Linked DNA regions of Lytechinus pictus. The protein of the gene in region 1 interacts with the protein of each later gene in a pairwise test. Links are inferred from orthologs where the notes say so. Each region holds a gene or a part of one and is shown on either strand. Other genes may lie near its edges.

Region 1 (11,070 bases):
ATATACACAGATGCAGAAATAAGATCACAATGGATTTAGAATGTTCCACCCCTCTTTTGTTGATCTTATGAGACAAAAAAAAAACAAGCTATCATGATTCTAAGATGATGATCCAAACTTCCAAAGTAATTACGTGCACCTTCTTGCTCATACTCAGTGAGCTTAAGTGGACTTAAAATATAAGGGGAAAATCGGCTTTGATGAAAAATAAATCGCTTGAGCGCTTGCCCGCACTGTCATTCTTTTTGTTAATTCATTGTTGGCCTTGATTGAAAACCATTGATCACTTTTTTTGAAACAATGATTATGAAAAGATCACAAAATGATGAGTATATCACTGGAGACAATGTAACTAAGGCTTATTTAGCAAAATTTCCCTTTTGTTTCCATTATGATAAATGCCCCGATATCAAACTACATAAATTCCGATTGGCTATCTATCGAGTTTGTACTGATGAGAGGATAGGCAGTGATTGGTGAGAGATTTGGGGTAGGATAGAGGGAGAGAGAGGGAGACAGAAAGAGAGAGAGGGGGGTACAGAAGGGTGAAAGAGAGTTAGGAGAGAAGGGGAAAGATGGTAAAAGGGACAGATGTTTAAAGGAAAAGAGAAGAAGTGAAGCAAAATGACCGACGATGGAAAAAGGCAAAATCGAAAGATCAGAGAGGGAGAGAGAGAGGGGGGGGGGGGGGTTCAAAGAGAGAGTGAGAGATAGAAGGAACAAGACAGTGATGAGTGATGGGCCACGCAACGCCCTCTTGAAATTTTTTTGATTTAGCAAAGCAAACAATAATAGCCTAATGGCGAAGAAAAAGATTAATGATTAACCAATAAAATTGTTCAAAAAAATGTATACCACGGAGTGCTTTTGCAAGGAAGATCAAGACTGCTACCAGTGTAGAGAAAGCATGACAGTGAAACACGAATCGTGATTTCCTTTTTTGGCTTTAATCCCTAAAGCATTTACTGTATTCATGTAATCTAACTTCGGTAAAGAAAACATCAATCAAGTGACAGCGAAATTGTTTTTTATCCAATATATTAAAAAAGTAACATTTCACATGCAAGCTGCTTGCATGGGACTAACAACAAACAAATGACATTTATATTTAAAAAAAAAAATTCAAAACAAAAGTGATTAATAAACAAGTTAAGAATATGACATTAAGCAAAATCTCAGATCTTGAAATGTATGATTCATGACCATTTTATGCACTCGTATTTCTACGGTGTCAAATTTGTCTCAGAATGGTGCAGATGAGAGTCAAACATACACTCTTAAAAATGTTGGGCAACATACGGTCCACACAACAATTGGTTAAAACTTTATCCAATTCTGGGTAGTTTTACACCAATAATGTGTGCTTTGGGTGAAAACTACACAGTATTGGTGTAAAACTACCCAGAATTGGATAAAGTTTTAACCAATTGTTGTGTGGACCGTATGTTGCCCAACATTTTTAAGAGTGTAACGTGTATCGGATTATTGAATTTGGCTGGGACTGGCATGGCATCAGTTGAAAAATCATTTGATTCCTAGTCAAATTAAAAACTAGTCGCTTTGACTAGGAATTGACTCCCAGCTGGCGCCGTTCTGAGTCAAATTTGACACCGCAAGAAATAAGAGGAATATCTTTTTGTAATGTTATTAGATTGTGTCCTACTTTATCCGCTTTCAAGATGATTCCCACTCTCTCTTATGTAGGCCTGTACAGTGCGTCCCGCAAAAAAGGAAACACGTTTTCAGAGATAGATTTCACAATTATTAAATATGCTTTTACTATAAATTTGATACTCATGGCAAGATTGGAATCTCATCTCTAATTTGAAATCAACAGTTTAGCAAATCGCTCACGCATGAGAGATAATAAACAATACAAATATTGAGACATTTCATAAACGATTTGCGCAGAAACTCACACGTGAATCTGAATCCACTCTCATTAATTTTCAGGAATCAGTGAGAGGATCTTAACAAAAAATACAAAGAAATGAACTCGTCTTGCTCATTAATGCGTGAAGTGTTTGTCTCATGTTAGGTATCAAAATAAAGAGGAATAAATGAATCATAATTATGATTGTGTAACTAAATATCATAATTCGTTTGTATTTGAAGAATAAAGACATGGGAATCAGGGTTTCCTTTTTTGGGGGGACGCACTTAATAAAAAGGTGTTTTTTCTTTCTTTTCTTTATTTTTAACACGTTTTTCAGCAAAACTTAAACATTATTTTCTGACTTAAGACCTCATTACCCCATGGCTTCAAAATAAATCCCCCATTGGACGAGGACCTTGAATAAAGCTACTTCGGGATATTTTTTTATAAATAGGGGGTACTCCTCCTCCACCCATCCCCTCTCTGTCTCCCACTCTCTCTCTTTCTTATCTCACCAATTTTCGCTCTAGCACAAAACAAATAATTGCATGCCTGATTACTCCCCTCTACCTGAAAGCAAAGATCGTTTTCTATTCTTTGTTGTTGAATATAGGGAACCCATTAAGCTAAGTTAAATTAATATATTAAAGGGATACTCCGGGCTTTAGATATTTATATCTAAATAAACAGAGTAAAATTCATAGATCAATATGTCACGTTGTTATTATTTGTAATGATCTTAACCCTTTGATATTTTATAGTTTTAGACATACATTTATAACTGATTGTCATTGTTCCACTCGATTTTTATTAATTAATTCATTAATATCATTTCAGTGTTTTTTATCAGTGAATAAATTATACAATTAGTAGTTTTATAATTAGTAACTGTTCCCTTTGGATAACTTAGATATTTCAGTTTGATTCATATTATCATCTAAGTACCTATGTTTCCAAGCATTGTTATCTTTGACTTAGATTTTGACTTTATTTTCATGTATGATATGATGATTTATGTTGTTTATGTTTTCATCAGGTCATCGATGAAAAACAGTTTTATGCTGATCTTTTGTACCTGAATAAATATGTTCTAATAAATAAATAAATAAAAAGATGCTGAAATTTTATCAAAATCGGATAACAAATAACTGACGAAGTTATTCAAATTTAAAGATTTGCAATATTTTTGAAAACAGTTATGCATGTATTCATGAATATTCATTAGATGGGCTGATGATGTCACATCTCCACTTTCCTTTTTCTTATATGTTATTACATGAAATCATCTTTGTTTCATTTTCCATGCATGTGTAAATGGTGTGTCTCTATTATAATGAATTAAAGGAGAATGAAACCCTTGAAACCAGCAGAATCCATATCAAAGAGAAAAATCAAAGAAACATATTGTTGAAAGTTTGAGGAAGATTGAATGAATAATAAGAAAGTTATGAGCATTTGAATATTGAGATCACTAATGCCATGTAGTTCCTCCCATTGGCAATGCGACCAAGATCTGTGATGTCACACACGTACAACTCCCTCATTACTTTAGTACTTATTTCACTTATATTCTCACTTTTATAGAGTCTATCACAAGGTGAGGTGTTCTCCTTATGAGAGGACAAGTACAGAGGTTTCACAACATTATATCATTGATGAATCGTTTGTCATATGATTAGAATGAGCAAAAAGTGATGTTTTGGGGTATATTTTCACTGTCCAAAAGGGGAGAGTTGTTCATCTGTGACATCATAGATCTTGGTCGCATTGCCAATAGGAGGATCTCCATAGCATTAGTGATCTCGACATTCAAATGCTCATTACTCTTCTATTGCTAGTCCAATTTTACTCAAACTTTTGTTTATCTTATTCTTTGATTTTTCTGCTTTCACAAAAGCTTACTTGCTCCAAGAGTTTCGTTCTCCTTTAAGTTGCAGCTATAAATAACTAAAACACTTAATCAGTTGTCAATCGAATTGTTTTATTCTTGGTATACATTTTTTGAATAAACCTAATTTCATATAATGAAATACAAAAGAACAAGTGAGGATATGACATCATCAGTTAATTGCTCATTGAATACTCATGAAGACATGAATAAAAAAGTTTCACCGGAATAATGCAAATCTTTAAAATTCAATAACCTTGTTATCCGATTTTGATCAGCATTTTGCTTTGTGAATTTACTCTATTTATTGAGATATGAATATCTTCAGCATGGAGTATCCCTACTACTTCTTTGGCAAATAAAACCATTGCTAGTTTTGTGCAATTTAAAAAAAACATGGAATTCAGACATTGCGAGGAAAATCACCAAATTCATAGAGATGAAGGCTACATCTGGCAAATGCACTAGTGCGAGGTTAATTAGTATACTAACCTCGCACCATGCAAGAACCGCATTTGGCAGTGGATTTCATACTAGCGGGTCGCACGCGCGTGCTGCGACGCCAGTGCTTCCACTCTTGATGGAATCCAGGAAATCCCAGGAAGTTTTGCTATTTTTCAGGATTATTCCAGGAAGTGAGAAATTCCAGGAAGTTTTCCAGGAAGTTATCATTTTCGGGAATGATGTTATTTTCTGAATATTTTGTCAAAATCTATCACAAAATTTGATATTTTAAATTAAAATGTAAATGTTTGCTGCTCGCAACTCTTTATAAACTTTGCCCGTTACCTCATGTTTCGCCCCTCAAAGGTTTTGGCTCAATTAAGGCACTGGGCCCTATATTTCATTGTGTGTGTATAGAAGAGAATGGAAGACTGCAGACTATTCGGAAAATTCCAGGATATTTTGTAAAATTCCAGGAAGTTCCGTTTTGAAAAGTGGAAGCACTGAACAACGCCCTGGCGTCCATAACACACGACTTTTAGGCCCGAATTCTCAAAGGGTGGCTAACTTAGCCCGGGCTAACTTAGCCCGGTGCATGGGCTAACTAATCCCCTGTGGGCTAAGTTAGTCCACTGAGCATTTCATAAAGCGTGGGCTAATTAGCCCACCTGGCTAAGTTAGCCGGGTGTGCTAAATATTTAGCACACCCAGCTAACAGCCAATTAGCCCGGTGGGCTAAATCATGAACTGAAGCTACTGCTAGCATGCTCAGTGCAGCCTTGTTGATGCATGTATGTACTACAGTGTGCAGTATACCAGGTCCATGGCAGCTAGTACTCACATAGCAGCAAAATGGAGGGGGAAAGATGTGCCAACTGGCCCCGCAACTAGCAATACTCCGAGATTATACCTCCTCGAACTCATTCATGACAATGCTGCGATATTCTGTAATAAATGTACAGATATTCATACTTTAGGAAATTGGCAAAGCCGATCTCCTAATATAAATATAAAAGTTAGGTCCTACCTTAATTCTTGCTCGCCAGAAGATAGAATGTGGTCCAGCCGCTCAGAATCTCAGATAAATTGCACAAATCCGTGAATAGAAATATATACACTTCACAATTTCAAATACAGTAGATAAAGGGACAGATGTCACAAAATGTCTCGCGAAGTAATGAGCTCATTAAATATGCAGAGAATATAGACTTCGAATGAGTGGAAGTGACGGTAAGGAATAAGATTGGAAAATGCAGAGAAATAATTAAGTATAAGTTGATCCTCCACAAGATTTGATTCGATCCTCACTAGCAGCTGGATGAGATGGTCAGCATGAGTGGACAGGACGAAGGCAGAGAGTAGAGTGATGATGTGGTAGAGAAAACAAGTTGTTTTTACCAACATCAGAAAAGATGAGACAAAGAAATAAGCGCCAAAAAGGGAGGCAAAACAAAGTTGAAAAGAACAAAGAAGAGAGAAGCAGACTGTGAGAAAAGCAAACATGCAAGCATCTCTGTAGTGATGTTGGTTATACCTGCAAGTTCATTGCAATAAACAAGGAACAATGAAAGGATGTTTGCTCCAAGTCTAGGAACAAAAGAAAGGTTGTTTCTCAATATAAGAATGTGTTTGCCAAGTAGATTTGGACAGAAAATGAGTTGGCTTGCTCTGTGAATGTACAGTATTGTAGTACATACACATGGCGTGAACAAGTGAGAATATATGAAATTGGAAATAAAAGAAAGAATTTATATACATATACAGAATGTTGAAATATAAATGAAAATATATACAAGGAAAGAATATATAGATGTAGATATATAAAAAGATATAGTCAAGTCACTACAATACCATAGAAAAATGAAGAGGAGCAGCATGGGAGGCAGTTAATTAGAGCCAGTTTTTAACAGAAGTTTGGCCAAAAGTACACTCTGCCACAATTTCCGGCACCGTAAAAGGAGAAATTAAAAAAGATGCGTGTCACCGCCAAAAAGGAGTATATTGTGAGTGGAGGAGGAACACCCGGAGGAACACCCCAAAAATGGGGGTGGGCCTCCTCCACATCTGAGCGAATCCACAAAAATGATTCAGGAATCAGAAGATTGTGCCTACAGACTTCATACAAATAGTTAACCCATATGATGACGATTACGGATTCTACAATCAAGCAATAAGTGCTTTGGATTTCTTGGCAAGAGGAAGCTTGATTGGCATGTAATGAACCATTGGGTGGGCAAATACATCCTCCAGACATGCACAGTAGGCCTACAGTCCAAGCCCACCTCCTCCATGTCCATTGCATTGTGCTCTAGCGCCATCTCTTGTTGATTGCTTGCAGCAGCATCCGAGATCCCGCGTTGATCTGATTCTGAGTTTTCTTTTGTGGAAATTCAATCTATACTTGACGTTTGGTGAGTAGAGGATACATGTAGGTCTAGATATTGAGTTCTCATGAACCTTGCGTGGTCAGGTTATATAGATTCTGTATTATTTGCTCTGCAATAATCTTGATAATTATAAGAAGCGCTACATATTCACAATTCAGATTTTAATATTTCAGTCCCACTGCTATGTTTTTGTGTTGTGTGTGCTCCGACCTTAGCGGAGGAAGAACACAAGAGAGAGAGAGAGAGAGCTGCTGTCTTGAATTCATCAGTTCATTCACCTGCATCTGAGTCTGGAATTTCAAACCTTGAGAGACTTGAGTTGCAGTAAAAGCAGAGTAAAATGATGAGCTTACTATATTAGTGACTGTTTGCAGCGCGACTTCGTTAAAAAAAGCGAGCGCACGCGTGTAAGTACATAATTAATGGCACGCATTTCCAATTTAAATTAATCAGCCGAGATGCCCGATATTTGGGAAAGTGCCATATTTGGAAGGGTGCTGGGTGTCAAATTTCCCACCGTGGGGAAACCATGCGGCAGCCATTGCAGATTTTTTTTCCCGATAGATTGAACATGTGCGATATCGGCGGCCACTCCTAGTACCAGTGAGGTCCAAACATTAACATGTATGGACCTCATAGGCGACAATGCTTTAAAAACAGGTTAGAAGTCCTGCACCCAAGTATTTTTATGATATTAGTGATTATTACTCGAAAAATGCAAGCTTTGTCCTCATTTGTTTAGCATTTATTAAAAAATTACCCATTAACTATAATCCTACTCATACTTTAAATGTTATAAAATAAAGGGAAACTTACATTTAGGTCCTTTTTCGATCTTTTCTTGGCAGTCAGTCCGGTCCCGTCGAGTGCGATCAAAGCGGTACGAAGCTGATTTTCAGATCACGTGATACGAGTAGTCATCTTCTTCTTCTTCTTCTTCTTTCCTTGGTTGGCAACCAGTTAACCAAGGAAAGAAGAAGAAGAAGAAGAAGATGACTACTGATCACCTGATCGATCGACTATCCTTTTTTAAAGACCGCAACAATTATAAATTTTATTATAAAATATATATAGAATAAATAATTGCATGATATTATATATATTTCTACAATTAAAAATATTTTGTGATATGAATTTAATATTTGACGTAAAAATCGCTATTTAGCAAAATATTTATTAAAAAATAAAAACGCCTTGGACACAGTGCAAAAAACCTAACAATTTGGCCGCGTTCTTAACAACTATTGTAAGGGGCGCTCTATTTATAAATAAAAAAGAATGTACAGCTGTCTACCGCAACGTGGTTTGTCGCAAGATTTGGGACAAATCCGTGGGAATTCTTGAGAAAATACATCAAAAGAACTGGTGAGTACCGATTAAACATTATCAAAGTAGTAAATAGGTTATACATAACTTGTAGATATATATTTTAAATTGATATTGATGCTTAGTTCCAAGCTAGGGCGGCCCAAATGTGCGTGAGTGGAGTCCCAGTTTATTAACACGGGTAAGTATTGGGGTGTCGCCTAGAGTGATCGGCGGCAACATTTCCTGCGAAAATCACTGCCCCCTTTTGAGATTTTTTTTTTGGTCATCGATCTTAAGTTAAGGAGTCCAAAATTAGTGAGGGTCATAAGAATCTTTGAAAGTCAAAATCGTGGATTTTAGTTTTTACCCCTGGATGTAACCCTAGGAATAAATTTTTTGAGCAGTAACCTGGGTCTCGTGTGTGCAGTTTAATAGATCAGAGGGTAAGTTCATGTATCACATGCACGCAATAAATCCCTTCGAAAATGTACATGTACTTGTAGATTATTATTGCTGATGATAGCACTACTTTGAAAGTCATTTATAGCAACAGCAAATTGAAGAAAAAATAGAAAAATTATATGAGCCTTGAACGAAACCAGCAGTACAAGCCTTTGTTCATTTGAACAAATGGTATACCAAAGTCTGTACAATGAAAAGACTGGACACTTTGCGTAACGCTTTGCATCGATTTGCATGTAAAATAGTTTAAGTGCCTAGTCTTTCCCTCGTAGTGTCTTCGATATGAATATCGCCCACTCTCTTTATGCGAAAAATTCCTATACCCAAAGTGAAATCGGGCCCCCGTAAATATCATTAAAAGAATATTTTATATTTAGCACTCAAAACTAAAGAGGAGGAAAAAGGGACACAATATCCCTCAGTAAGTTCAGAAAGGTGAGGTAATGAGTAGACTCTAGTAAAATGTAAGTTGTCCATTCGAAGCATAAAACAGTAAACAGCCGATCATACACAAAAGTGCATTGACTTGGCTGCGTTCTCAAAGCCTCTTTGTACATTGAGATCTATGTTGAGGCACCATCACCCCATCTTATTTTGATAACAATTATCACCCCCACTTTCCAAATGAAATGATTGCCAGCAAATTTTTATATAGACTTCATTTTGATACAGATTATTTCTAACTTGCCTCAGCAGCTTGAGACATTGATTTCTAAGCAGGGGCATCTCGAACCGTTGCCCAATTAAATGGGGGCTAATATTTAGACCATATGGACAAGTGTGCAAGTCGGACTGGGCTAAACTCCATATTCTTTTGCAGGATATTTTAACCAGACATGGCAAAATTTCAGGCAAATAATAAGGATTAATACCAGGTGCCACGAGACACCCTTCAAGATTGCAATTGATTTCTAGAACTGTTGTGGTCAGGCAGTGACAGTCGAGTGTTGCAGCACTAAATGATTGCCGATGGCAAATTAACGCATTTGCTCATTAGTTGGTTCAAAAATATTTTGTTAATGTCAGTGGCAAATTTGAAGATAAAATCCTACACCGCATACCATTTCCTGTAAAACTATTTGTACTTTTCAAAATTTTCTTTCATTTCAATTCATGTGTCTTCATTTTTGGTGACAGGTCATAGGTCAAATGTCATCATGGCATCAAACGCTACAAGGTCAGCAACCTCCAGCCCGGCCAAGAGTGAACGGAGTGCAAGTGAAAAGAGTGAAAAGAACACCTTCACAGATCTGAAGTCAATAGTGAAGTCCGAGTACATGAGCTTGGTGACTAACAGACGTTTCAAGAGAGCTGGAGAAATTAGGGTAAGACTTGGAGATTTTCTTATCATATTCTTACAGCTAGCCATGAGAGAATGAATACTACCGTGTGAAATAGACAAATATGAATACTTATTTAGATTTAATCCCAACTTTGAGTTTAATAAGATTATTTACCATTGCTCTCCAGGCTCATAAGTGACAAAGTAAATTATTTTCTAGAAACCAATTAGGGCCACGTCATGCCTGAATTTCTTCTTTCTGGATTCTGACAGCATACAGTATTATATTCAGATCTCTGCATGTTTCCAGTACATCCTGTAATAAAGTCATAGGTAATTTAGTGGACTTTGATATTCTTATCAATTTTGACTTGATAGATTTAGCCTACATCTTGTATAACAGTAATGATAAGGGTTACAAACTCTACAAGATGGAGCCTATTCTGGCTAAAATGTGTACCCTTTTTTCAAGGCAATAAATGAAACTATGTTAAATGTTTAACCCTCTATACTCTCGCAAATTCGGATGAACCAAATTGAGATATGAAAATAGAGGGTGATTCACTAATCGTTAAAAAAAAATATAAGAAGCTTTAGACCAATAAAGTCTCATGAAAATTGATTTTACACTGTACCTCTCTTACAATCGATTTTTAATTCTCAGGGAATCATCTCACTGGAATTAATTATGCTCAAATTTATTATATTCTATCAAAATTTACCGCTTTTAGTATAAGTCGCTGATCCAGACCAGTCCCGTGGCTACTTCACAAAATTATGATTTTATGAATGGCTAAAATAGCCTGCGCCAGGCTTGGGCTATTTGGGTGCTGCTTTTATTAGCACCAGCACCACGTGCCCGAGTTTGTTAATGGGTGATTGTAAAAGTAGTGTGACTCTGCTACAGTTACCAAGCACAATTTATATTGAATGGTGCAGACTATTTTTTAGCACGGGCCTGGTGCGGACCAAAAAAATCATGAGTCACTGAAAACGGTATTAGATAGTTTCCTCTTGGCCTTGACGTACTGTAGTTTACACACCTTGCAATCGTTCATTGGGATGTCTTTTACAGTGATTATGTTTATCATTATGTGAAATCAATGGTACAGTCATTTGCTCTGTTTAGTGTTGAATGTTGATACATGCTCTTGTCTGATGACCGCTGGGACACTTGAAAATGTGTCTTCAATGTCTTGTCTTCTTTACAGATGATTTGGTCGGCCAATCGTAAATGTATAGAAGAGAGAACGGAGGAGAATGAAAGGAAGAATCAGGAGTGTCCCTTCCAGTCTATCCACACTGCTGCTTCCTTCGATCAACTTCCCGTTACAAGAAAGGTGAGACATGTCTTCTCCAAATCTCATGCTGCTCTACTTTGGCAAATTGGAGTCTTTATTACACAGAACTCCAAACTGCCGAC
Region 2 (10,360 bases), on another chromosome or scaffold:
AACGATGTAAGAGAGTAACGCAGTGAGCTCCGTCGGTAATACGATCTTTCAAAGTTCACGGCGGCATCCGCTATCACCATGAGTTGGAAGAGAAGATATCTATCCTCTTAAACATCGCCATAGATAATACCGCGTCTTTCTCCCTGAATAATGCGACCTCTAAATAGCTAGCACCTCAAAAACAATCTTGAAATATGTTCTGAGCGATCACGCACTGTAACCAGATCTACGCCGATTTTTTCCTTCAAGGGGCATGATCGAAGATCGGCAAGTGATTGCCGATTGTGGTGAAATCGAATGGAATCGGTTGCCGATTGCAAAATCGGTTACAAGCTTATATTGAACTAGCCTTTTTGTCCAGAACTTGCTCAACTTTTGCGGCAAATTTTGTCGCCATAGGGTTGTGCACATTCTCGTTTAATACTGGTTGTCACGTGACACGGCAATGTCGTTAGGCTGTTTGGCCTGTATTCAAGGCGTTCTATCCGTTATGATTTTATATTGAATGAAGCTAATTCCATCAGGTATAGGCCCCTATCAAGTCAAAATCGATACAGGGATCGAGAGGGGGGGGGGTGGAGCCAAAAATTCCCCAGTCACATGGTATGAAAATGATATTTTTTATGATTGTCCACGATCATTAGGGCAAACCCGTGTGTGGCAGTACGGTAGCGTGATGAGTAAAAAAAAAATAAAATAAAAGAAAGAAAGAGGGCCAATGTAGGCATACATGGCGCGTGGGAATAAAGTTGCTTTATATGTTCCAAGCGAGTGAAGTAAGCGAGAAAAAAACTTTTCGTGCAAATCTAAATTTGAGATAGATATCTTAACTTACACTTTTCCTTTTCTTTTCATTAATTCCCTTCATTTCTTTTTTATCTTGGTTGTAGAACTTTCGGGGGCCCCTAGGCCTAACCCTTCCATCGTGTACCCCCAGTGCAATATCAGCAGGTGGGTCTCGATAACTCTGGATATTTAGCAATTAGACCTATTTATAGAAAAACATAACGTTAATGTTTTGACCCCTTCCCCCCCAAAAAAGGAAAAACAATTATAAACTAAGTTATATACATCCCCCTTTTCTCATTTCGCTTTTTATTTTCTCTATTCCCTCCTTATTTTTTTGGGGGGGAGGGACCTTTTCGGGGGGCACCGCCCCTAGCTACGCGCCTACCAGATGAAGAGGCGAGCGAGCAAAACCTTTGTCACTTATATTACAAATATCAATTTTGCAATAGATTTTGACATAACATTCGGAATTATTCTCGCATGCATTTTTCTTTCCTTCTGCTTTTTTATGGCCTTTTATTTCTCTTCCCTTTCTCTTTCTGTCTTTCTTTCTTTCTTTCTTTTCCTTCCTTCATTCCTTTTCTCTTATCGCGTTTTTTTTTTGGTGAAATCCACTGGACCGGGGATCAAGGGCCAGCCTGCATGCCCCCGGCGGTTTACGCCTCTGACGTGGATGTAAGCTATATATACGCATGATCTTAATCTTCATTATGATTCAAACTATATAGAGGCGGATCCAAGATTTTCCAAATTAAGTAGGGGGGGGGGCGGGGTGAATTTTCTCAAGTAAAATTTGACAACTCCCAAAAAAGGTTCTTACTAAAAAAAAAAAAACGGTCATTATATTGTCTCGCGTAAAGTTTGACAAGTTAAAAAAAAAATGGTCACTCAAAATGAAAGTCATTTTGTCCGCGTAATATTCGGCAAGCCCCCCCCCCCCACAAAAATAAGAAAAGGGAAAGTCATTTTGTCCACGTGATATTTGGCAACCCCCCAAAAAAAATAAAATAAAAAAAGGTTTTAACTATAGCAATGATCGAAGGTCATTTTGTCTCGCGTAAAATTTGACAATTTTTTAATAAAGTTGTCACTAAAAAAAAAGGTCACTTTTTCCACCGTTATATTTGGCAAGCCCCCACCCCCATAAAAAGTTTGTCCCTAAAAGTGATGTATAGAAAGTCATATTGTTAATTTGTTCCCAGTAAAATTTGACAAGCAAAAAAAAGGCAAAAAAGAGAAAAGAATATGAACGAAATATCCCCATTACAAATAATGCTGTGATTCTCATAAGGGAGGGGGGGGGGCACATAACTAGTATTAACAAAATATTTAATTCCAAAATGTTTACTATAAATCTCAAAAGGGGGAACGGGCAGAAATGCTCACCCCAACCCCCCCCCCCCCCGCCACTGATTCCAATCAATAATGACTTTTCTCTGCAATACTGATGCTTTGAAATCAAGATACTGAAGATTGATACGCTTAACATAAATTATGAACGTCTGACAAAAAGATAACCAACCGATCACCTGACCGATCAGCTGACCAGTACGCGTATCACTTCGGAGATGATCACTCGTCGCAGCTGTGTGGAACGCTCACCCAAAATCAACAAAAAGGGCCTGAAATGTAAGTTTAACAATAATCGATTTTAATTTCAACTATTTTTACAACTAAATAAAGGTTAGCCGTCCGAATGAAAGGTATATCGGATAACTCTAACTTGTATTAAGGTGTACATTTACCAAAGTCTTGGGGTGGAAATCAGAACAGCATTGTCCAACCCATAATTTGGGTAATGTCGCCTATGAGGTCCATACATGTTAATGTTTGGACCTCATTGGTACTAGGAGTGCAAGCTATATTCCTTTCTCTTATTTAAATTATAATTTTATAGTGTAAATGCATCGTTAGCAACAACAAAAAAATGAAAGAAATGAAGGGGAACTTACATTTTCATGGCTTTTTCCTGATTTTCTGGGCAGTTGCTCTTCACTTCTGACTCGCGATCGAAGCTGATATGAAGATCACGTGATTCGCGTTCTCGTCAGCTGATCGGTTGGTTATTCTTTTCGTCAGACGTTAATAATATATATTTTATAATGCTAGCATTCATCGCTAATTTAGGTGAAAGAGATTGAAGTTAAACAGCGCCAGGTCGGAATCATAATTATTTTGGAAGAGTGTATTTATACACTCGATCTCATACCTGACGTAGACGGCGCTATTCAACAAATGCACAATCTTCAATATAAAAAATAAAACAGAAAGAACGCCTTGAACACATGCCAAAATGCAATGATTTCTCCGCGGCATTAACAACTATCGTAAAGGGCGCTCCATTTATTAATAAAGATGGATGTATAGCTGTCTATGGCGACAAAATTTGCCGCAAATATTTACGAAGAATTGTGAGAAATGGTCTGAAAATGCAACAAAAGAACCGGTGAGTACCGATTAAACATCAATTTATTTAATAGAACATATTTCATGACTAGAGTTTAACAATTTCTAGATAACATTGCTTAGTTCTAAGCTAGGGCGGCCCAAATGCGCGTGAGTGGAGTCCCAGTTTATTAGCACGGGTAAGTATTGGGGTGTCGCCTAGAGTGCATATTACTGCGTTCTAAAACAAATTCGTACCGTAAGACTTCCGCAATTCAATTTCACAGAGCAATACATAGAACAAGATTGCAAAAACAAGGCGAAAAATCCAACTTTTACCTAATTATCTCTAAAAATGACAGAAAATGCTTAAAATATCATATAACATAGTTTTGTATTAACAATTGATATATTTTCTAACGGAAATATGGGCCTGATTTGCCGAATTTCAATCTCGTCCACTCCTTCGATCGAATGATGAGGTGTGGTGTATTGTGGGTGATCGTCGACGGCTAGTTCTCAAGGTACCCGTGCGCGAGGTTTACCGTGAGTAGAGCCGTCGATCGGCAGCGCATCGATAGAACTTGATGAGCGTCACATTATGAACGCGAGCATATTATTATTGGAAAGTGCCATGGAACATGCAGCTAACAAGAAAAAATAAAATAAGTTATCAAACACGAATTTATTACCAACATCTGCTCAGATTCGATATAAAAAAAAAGCAAATAATACTTAGAATTTGCTCATGATATGATATAAGAAGAAAAAAATCACAAAAATTTGTTCTTACATCATTATAATCAAGGATATCTTTACCCGTCCGGCGCGCGTCCGGAATCATGATGTAATTTGTCGCGCACGAAAATAATTGTTTTTCGTGGAGGGGTATGCGGCAAGTGCGATGCAAAGAAAATGGTTGGTAAATATAAAATAATTTTATCATATTCATAATTTTCATAATATTTGGAATAGCAAGTGTGAATTTTTCTTGATTGTATTTCCTCTAGTTGTCATTTTTAAAGCACTGAAATAAAGGTGTCCGGCAATAGGATACACTGCCATATGTGTAGTGTATGATGGGGTGTCCAAACTTCGCTTCGCTTCGCGGACCTTTCAAACATATTCTTCAGGCTTAAATTTGTTCACAAAATATTCACAATTTATGCAAAACCAATTTAATAAATAATAATTACCACATTGACGGCAAGATCGTAAACTATAAAATCATTGACAAAAATGTGAAATAGGTCAAACTCAAACTAAAAAGGACAAGGCCAGGCGGTTTCGCCGGTATTGCGATCTCAAAATTCTATTCCGATCGACGAATGCGCGCTGTGCTGGAAAACCGTTCTGAAAAAGTATGACCTAACTTCGCGGACCAAAGTTTTTGAGGAGATTTAAAAAAACTCAAGCTCAAAAGGAGAGATATTTATATATCAGATTGACGACAAAATGCTAAGTAATTAGTCAGTACCACATTGAACTCACATTTTTGATGATATCTGCTTGCAAAATGATGATATTGTGATGCTTGTTGAGGATATCAGATTTCTTCGGAACTGGGCGTTAACGGTGACAAATTTGCTGATCTTTTGTCAATATTTTCATGAATACTGACCTCATCCTGAAGGAACTTACACCAAAAGGTAATTTTTTTAGGTCGCTTTTCACGTTGATGATGTCAGATTTTAAAGGAGAATGAAACTCTTGGAGCAAGTTAGCTTTTGTGAAAGCAGAAAAATCAAAGAATAAGATCAACAAAAGTTTGAGTAAAATAGGACTAGCAATAGAAGAGTTATGAGCATTTGAATGTCGAGATCACTAATGCTATGGAGATCCTCCCATTGGCAATTAAATGCGACCAAGATCTATGATGTCACAGATGAACAACTCTCCCCTTTTGGACACTGAAAATATACCCCAAAACATCTATTTTTGCTCATTCTAATCATATGACAAACGATTCATCAATGATATAATGTTGTGAAACCTCTGTACTTGTCCTCTCATAAAGAGAACACCTCACCTTGTGATAGACTCTATAAAAGTGAGAATATAAGTGAAATAAGTACTAAAGTAATGAGGGAGTTGTACGTGTGTGACATCACAGATCTTGGTCGCATTGCCAATAGGAGGATCTACATGGCATTAGTGATCTCATTATTCAAATGCTCATAACTTTCTTACTATTCATTCAATCTTCCTCAAACTTTCAACAATATGTTTCTTTGATTTTTCTCTTTGATATGGATTCAGCTTGTTTCAAGGGTTTCATTCTCCTTAAAGGATATTGGCTATTTTTTTAGATAATGACCGTCCGCGAAGTTTGGACTCATTGCCATACTCGACTCCTACTTCCTAACGAGTAACGTTAACGTTAGACTAGTCTCAAACACGGGTTGGTCGTTGACGTTGGATGAGTGCGCTGCATTGGGCTTCCGCTTGGGGTGTTGTTTCGCATTAATTGCGATTGATCGGCGCTAAAGCAGTTTCGCACTGCCACTGGCCGAATTTCAGGGAATTTTTTTCAGCATGTTTCCGATTCCCCAAATAAAAAGGGCACAAATAATAATCGGTTGCAGCTACCTCAAGTGAGGTTCGTGCAGGCTCCACTCCACTTCACTACCGCTACACTACGCTCCATCTACCTGAACCTCAATGTGGTGAACTCGCTCTGATACTTTGAGTGACAAAGGTGGGAGAAAATGCATGTTTATTTGTAAAAATCCTACACCGAAATGAGCTTAAAAATAATAAGAAGCTAAATTTCTTACTTTTCATCCTAATTTCACTCCATATCCATCCTCCTGTTAGCCGCAAAATTGGTTATTTAGAGCCAGCATCGAGTTCCTCACTCTTATAAATAATTCGCTGCTGATTTGAAAACATCGCATCCGCATGCGTGAGGGTCTGAGTTGCGACTTGACCTTTGAGAGCCAAGTTGTATGATGAATAGTATCAGAAAATATAGCATTTGTCCCCAAGAACAAGAGAAAATAAGCCAAACATTGCCAACTTTATTTCACCACACAGAGAGTACTAACAGAGAACAAGGATATCATTGTGAATCACTTTGAGTAGTCGTAGATTGATAAAGCGCTGTATAGAGTCTAAAAGCTTTATTATAACTATTATCATAAACTTGATCATTGAATGAGTGAGGCCCATCGTGATCAGGAATGGCTGTATTATTTTCAGCTCGATCTTGACAGGCAAATGGATCTACCGGTACTGTGAGTGACTGAGGGTGATGTGAGAAAATGAAAGGGTCAGGCTCTTGGGGATAATGAATCACAGTAATGAATTATTTTGATACATTTCAAAAGTTCATAAAGTTTTGATAAATCATGTAAATTTGATAATTGTATTGCTGAACATCTGAAGTCGGAGGTTAGACTGGCTTTGGATTCAGTCTATGCTCACTTGCGTAATGAGCTACTTGTATACTCAGGGATTTAGCTATGGTGCAACTCAAATGACAGCATCATCGGTCAATAGCTTCAAGACGAAGCTAGACAAGTTTTGGTCTTCGTTGCATTATGTCCACCCATGGGAACAGTGACCTTTTTCACTGCATGTTACAGCACACAGACTCAGAATGAGAAATTTAATACCCTAGATAGGAAGACAACATACAAGATTGACCTGGAAACTTGTCTGCAGAAACAACTGTATTTTTCCAGTAGATCCGGTGTAAAGGTATAAAATACGTCATTGCCTCATTGGATAAATAAACATTCCATACACCCGTTAAAGTAATAGCCTCACTCTTCATTCTTGGTGTATTCTTTTATCTCCTCCTTTTCCTAGACCTGTCCACTTCTTCTGAGGGTGTTCTGTAATAACAATCGTCACCATCAGGAACACGAGTTTTCTCGAGGAACAGTCCCAGCCAACGAACTCCAGATCTACACATGGTAAGTTGGTTGTAGAGGTTTGGTGGTCGAGTGGTCTCTGAAGCACCTTAAAAGTGCGTGGTACCTACATGTATATGCCTTTGATCAAGGCATTTTATAATCAACAATGCTGCTTTATGGTCTGTAAAAAATAAATGGAAATAGAAAAGTAGCATAAAAGGAACATGCTGAAGCTTTTCGACATGCGGTCATCCGAGTAAAACCTGCCCGTTAAGCCAAACATCAAAATTAAACAACTAAATAAACCCTAATCCTTATATTTACATCATTCTGAACCAAAAACTCAATCCAAACTCTAACCCATGCCCCTTGAGATATTAAATCCGGAGCAAATGTCGCAACAGCAAATGTGTCACCAATATATCCCCAATGAATGTCAAACATTTTTGAGTTGTGTTCTCCTACCACCTTTTTCGTTGCGACTATTACAGAATGTTTTTCCTGGTATCATGCTTAGTTTGATTGGGGTAATGGGAATTGTTGTCCTGTGCTTTTGCACCGGAATCATGTGCACAAAAGTTTGTCCGCGTACCATTTATACTTATTTTTATTGTCTGAGGAGTACTTTTGCCAAGATTTGCCTTTTACTGTTTTTTGTCTCACCTGCATAGCAGAGTGAGACTATAGGCGCCGCTTTTCCGACGGCGACGGCGGCGGCGTCAACACCAAATCTTAACCTGAGGTTAAGTTTTTGAAATGACAGCATAACTTAGAAAGTATATGGACCTAGTTCATGAAACTTGGCCATAAGGTTAATCAAGTATTACTGAACATCCTGCCTGAGTTTCATGTCACATGACCAAGGTCAAAGGTCATTTAGGGTCAATGAACTTAGACCATGTTGGGGGAATCAACATCAAAATCTTAACCTAAGGTTAAGTTTTTGAAATGTCATCATAACTTAGAAAATATATGGACCTAGTTCATGAAACTTATACATAAGGTTAATCAAGTATCACTGAACATCCTGCTTGAGTTTCACATCACATGACCAAGGTCAAAGGTCATTTAGGGTCAATGAACTTTGGCCAAATTGGGGGTATCTGTTGAATTACCATCATAACTTTTAAAGTTTATGGATCTGATTCATGAAACTTGGACATAATAGTAATCAAGTATTACTGAACATCCTGTGCAAGTTTCAGGTCACATGATCAAGGTCAAAGGTCATTTAGGGTCAATGAACTTTGGCCAAATTGGGGTATTTGTTGAATTACAGCCATAAATTTGAAAGTGTGTTGGTCTAGTTCATAAAACTTGGACATAATAGTAATCAAGTATCACTGAACATCCTGTGCGAGTTTCAGGTCACATGATCAAGGTCAAAGGTCATGTAAGGTCAAAGAACTTTGGCCACGTTGGGGGTATTTGTTGAATTGCCATCATATCTCTATAAGGGTGCGTTTATCCGCCACTTTTTCACCCTAGAATCATGATCTGAATCATGATTCAAATCATGATTCTGCAGAATCACGATTGCGTTTAGTCGAAATTGAATATAATCATGATTAGAATCACAAACATGAAACACGAAAAAAGGGGCGTTTGGAAAGACGTTTCTGCAGAATCACGTACGAAAATGTTCGAATAAACGATATCGTGATTTGAATCATGATTATATGACCTCACTGTGTCGTCGGGCTACGGCTTTCGGTTTGACTCTTGCCAAGCTTATGCTCATAGTATGTACATGATTACTCTGCATGCATTTCTTGTCATGTTCAAGTTCTGTGTTGGTCTTCGCATCGTCCACTACTTTTCATTTTTTGGTCATGTCTTCAACTTCAAGTTCTAGTAAATTAATTAACTGGAGACAATGATGAGTATAGAGTGTCAATATTAAATTGGATCTACGCTGAAATTCACTTCCGAACACCATTTTGGATTAACTAACAAGATGAATAGAAGCATATGGACCCTATATGATAGAAGTAAACAAAATTAGGTTGAATTCTGGAAGCAAAAGATTTTTTCGAGAGCCGAAACACGTGCGAAAAACTTCCTCTGTCAAACTGCGCACTAGTGATGCGCACTGGATTGGCCCGAATCTGAGGAGAAACAGCATTGGAATGACGGTCGTCTAAACGCTGATTCTGTGATATCGTGATTCATGTTTGTGTTTTGAATCATGATTCAAATCATGATTCAAATCATGATTCTGGCTTGAGGTCGCATAAACGCAGCCTAAGTGTATTGGTCTAGTTCATAAAACGTGGAAATAAGAGTAACCAAGTATCACTGAACATCTTGTGCGAGTTATAGTAGTTTTCAAAATCAGCACTGCTGCTATATTGAATCGCGTGATGCAGGTGAGACGGCCAGAGGCATTCCACTTGTTTTTCTTGTATCCCACTTACACTATATGATCCTTTTTTTTTTCATAGGATGGATGCCACTTTGAAAGAGCTATCTAGCCTAGTGAAGGAAGTCAACCCCGATGCACGGCGGAGGGGGACGTACTTTGACTTCGCCATCGTCCACCCGCACCAGAGGCGCCAACAAGCCTACCAGATGAGGGAGATCGGGATGACCTGCTCAGGACGCAAGGGACCCGATGATTCCGTGACCCTGTCGGCGCAGAATTTCGTCATCGGCGATTATATCGATATCGCCATCACCTTGCCTCCGAGGGGCGGGCTCGGAGAACGGGGAGGAGGAGGGGGGATGGGAGGCGGCGGGATGGGGATGGGAAGAAGAGGAGGTTGGGGGCGGTGATAGAAGTAAGGCTACATGTTCTAGGTAGTAAGTCAGAATGAGATTGATTCACAGGGGGGGGGGGTGAATTTGAGATGGTGTGGGGGAAGAGTTTGAAAAAATTGTGGGGGGGGGGAGGTCTTCAACCCTGGATAGACTTGGAAACTGAAGGATGCATGGTACAGTATATTTTCAAGAACTGGCAAACGTCACATATGAACCACCTAATTCAAAGTAAGCTATTGAAGATTTATACAATTTTGCCTACCAATAGATCTTTTTCCTTTCTATCCCTGATGAAATGTCCATATTGATTGAATCAATATGAAGACTTGGAGACTTGGCGTCACATTAGTAGGCTGTCTGACATAAAATCACAAGTTAGATCACAGTTTAAGTCAAACCAGAAAACGGGCTATCTGTTTGTACACAGGTTTCATGGTATGCTGATGCACAGCTTGGGAAATTATCAGTAGAACATACCATTTGGGACCTTAGTAGGAAAGTGGTCTAATAATTATATCCAAACTGTACAGCATGATGTAAGTGGACCACAATTTTTGGAACCCATC

Evidence for each region.
Region 2: the proteins of histone-lysine N-methyltransferase EZH2-like (region 1) and histone deacetylase complex subunit SAP18-like interact in binary tests that used the Drosophila melanogaster proteins (3 or more experiments, as listed by UniProt). The link is inferred for Lytechinus pictus from reciprocal best matches to the Drosophila melanogaster genes E(z) and Bin1.

What each region holds. Positions count from the first base shown.
Region 1 is NC_087245.1:20,676,037-20,687,106, forward strand, and holds the start of histone-lysine N-methyltransferase EZH2-like, read left to right. Parts: upstream 1-6,525; 5' UTR 6,526-6,619; intron 6,620-9,502; 5' UTR 9,503-9,522; coding exon 9,523-9,690; intron 9,691-10,858; coding exon 10,859-10,987; intron 10,988-11,070. UniProt on the Drosophila melanogaster protein: Polycomb group (PcG) protein. Catalytic subunit of the Esc/E(z) complex, which methylates 'Lys-9' and 'Lys-27' of histone H3, leading to transcriptional repression of the affected target gene.
Region 2 is NC_087248.1:29,152,407-29,162,766, reverse strand, and holds the start of histone deacetylase complex subunit SAP18-like, read left to right. Parts: upstream 1-6,075; coding exon 6,076-6,120; intron 6,121-6,987; coding exon 6,988-7,094; intron 7,095-9,478; coding exon 9,479-9,809; 3' UTR 9,810-10,360. UniProt on the Drosophila melanogaster protein: Involved in the tethering of the SIN3 complex to core histone proteins. Interacts with bicoid (bcd) to repress transcription of bicoid target genes in the anterior tip of the embryo; a process known as retraction.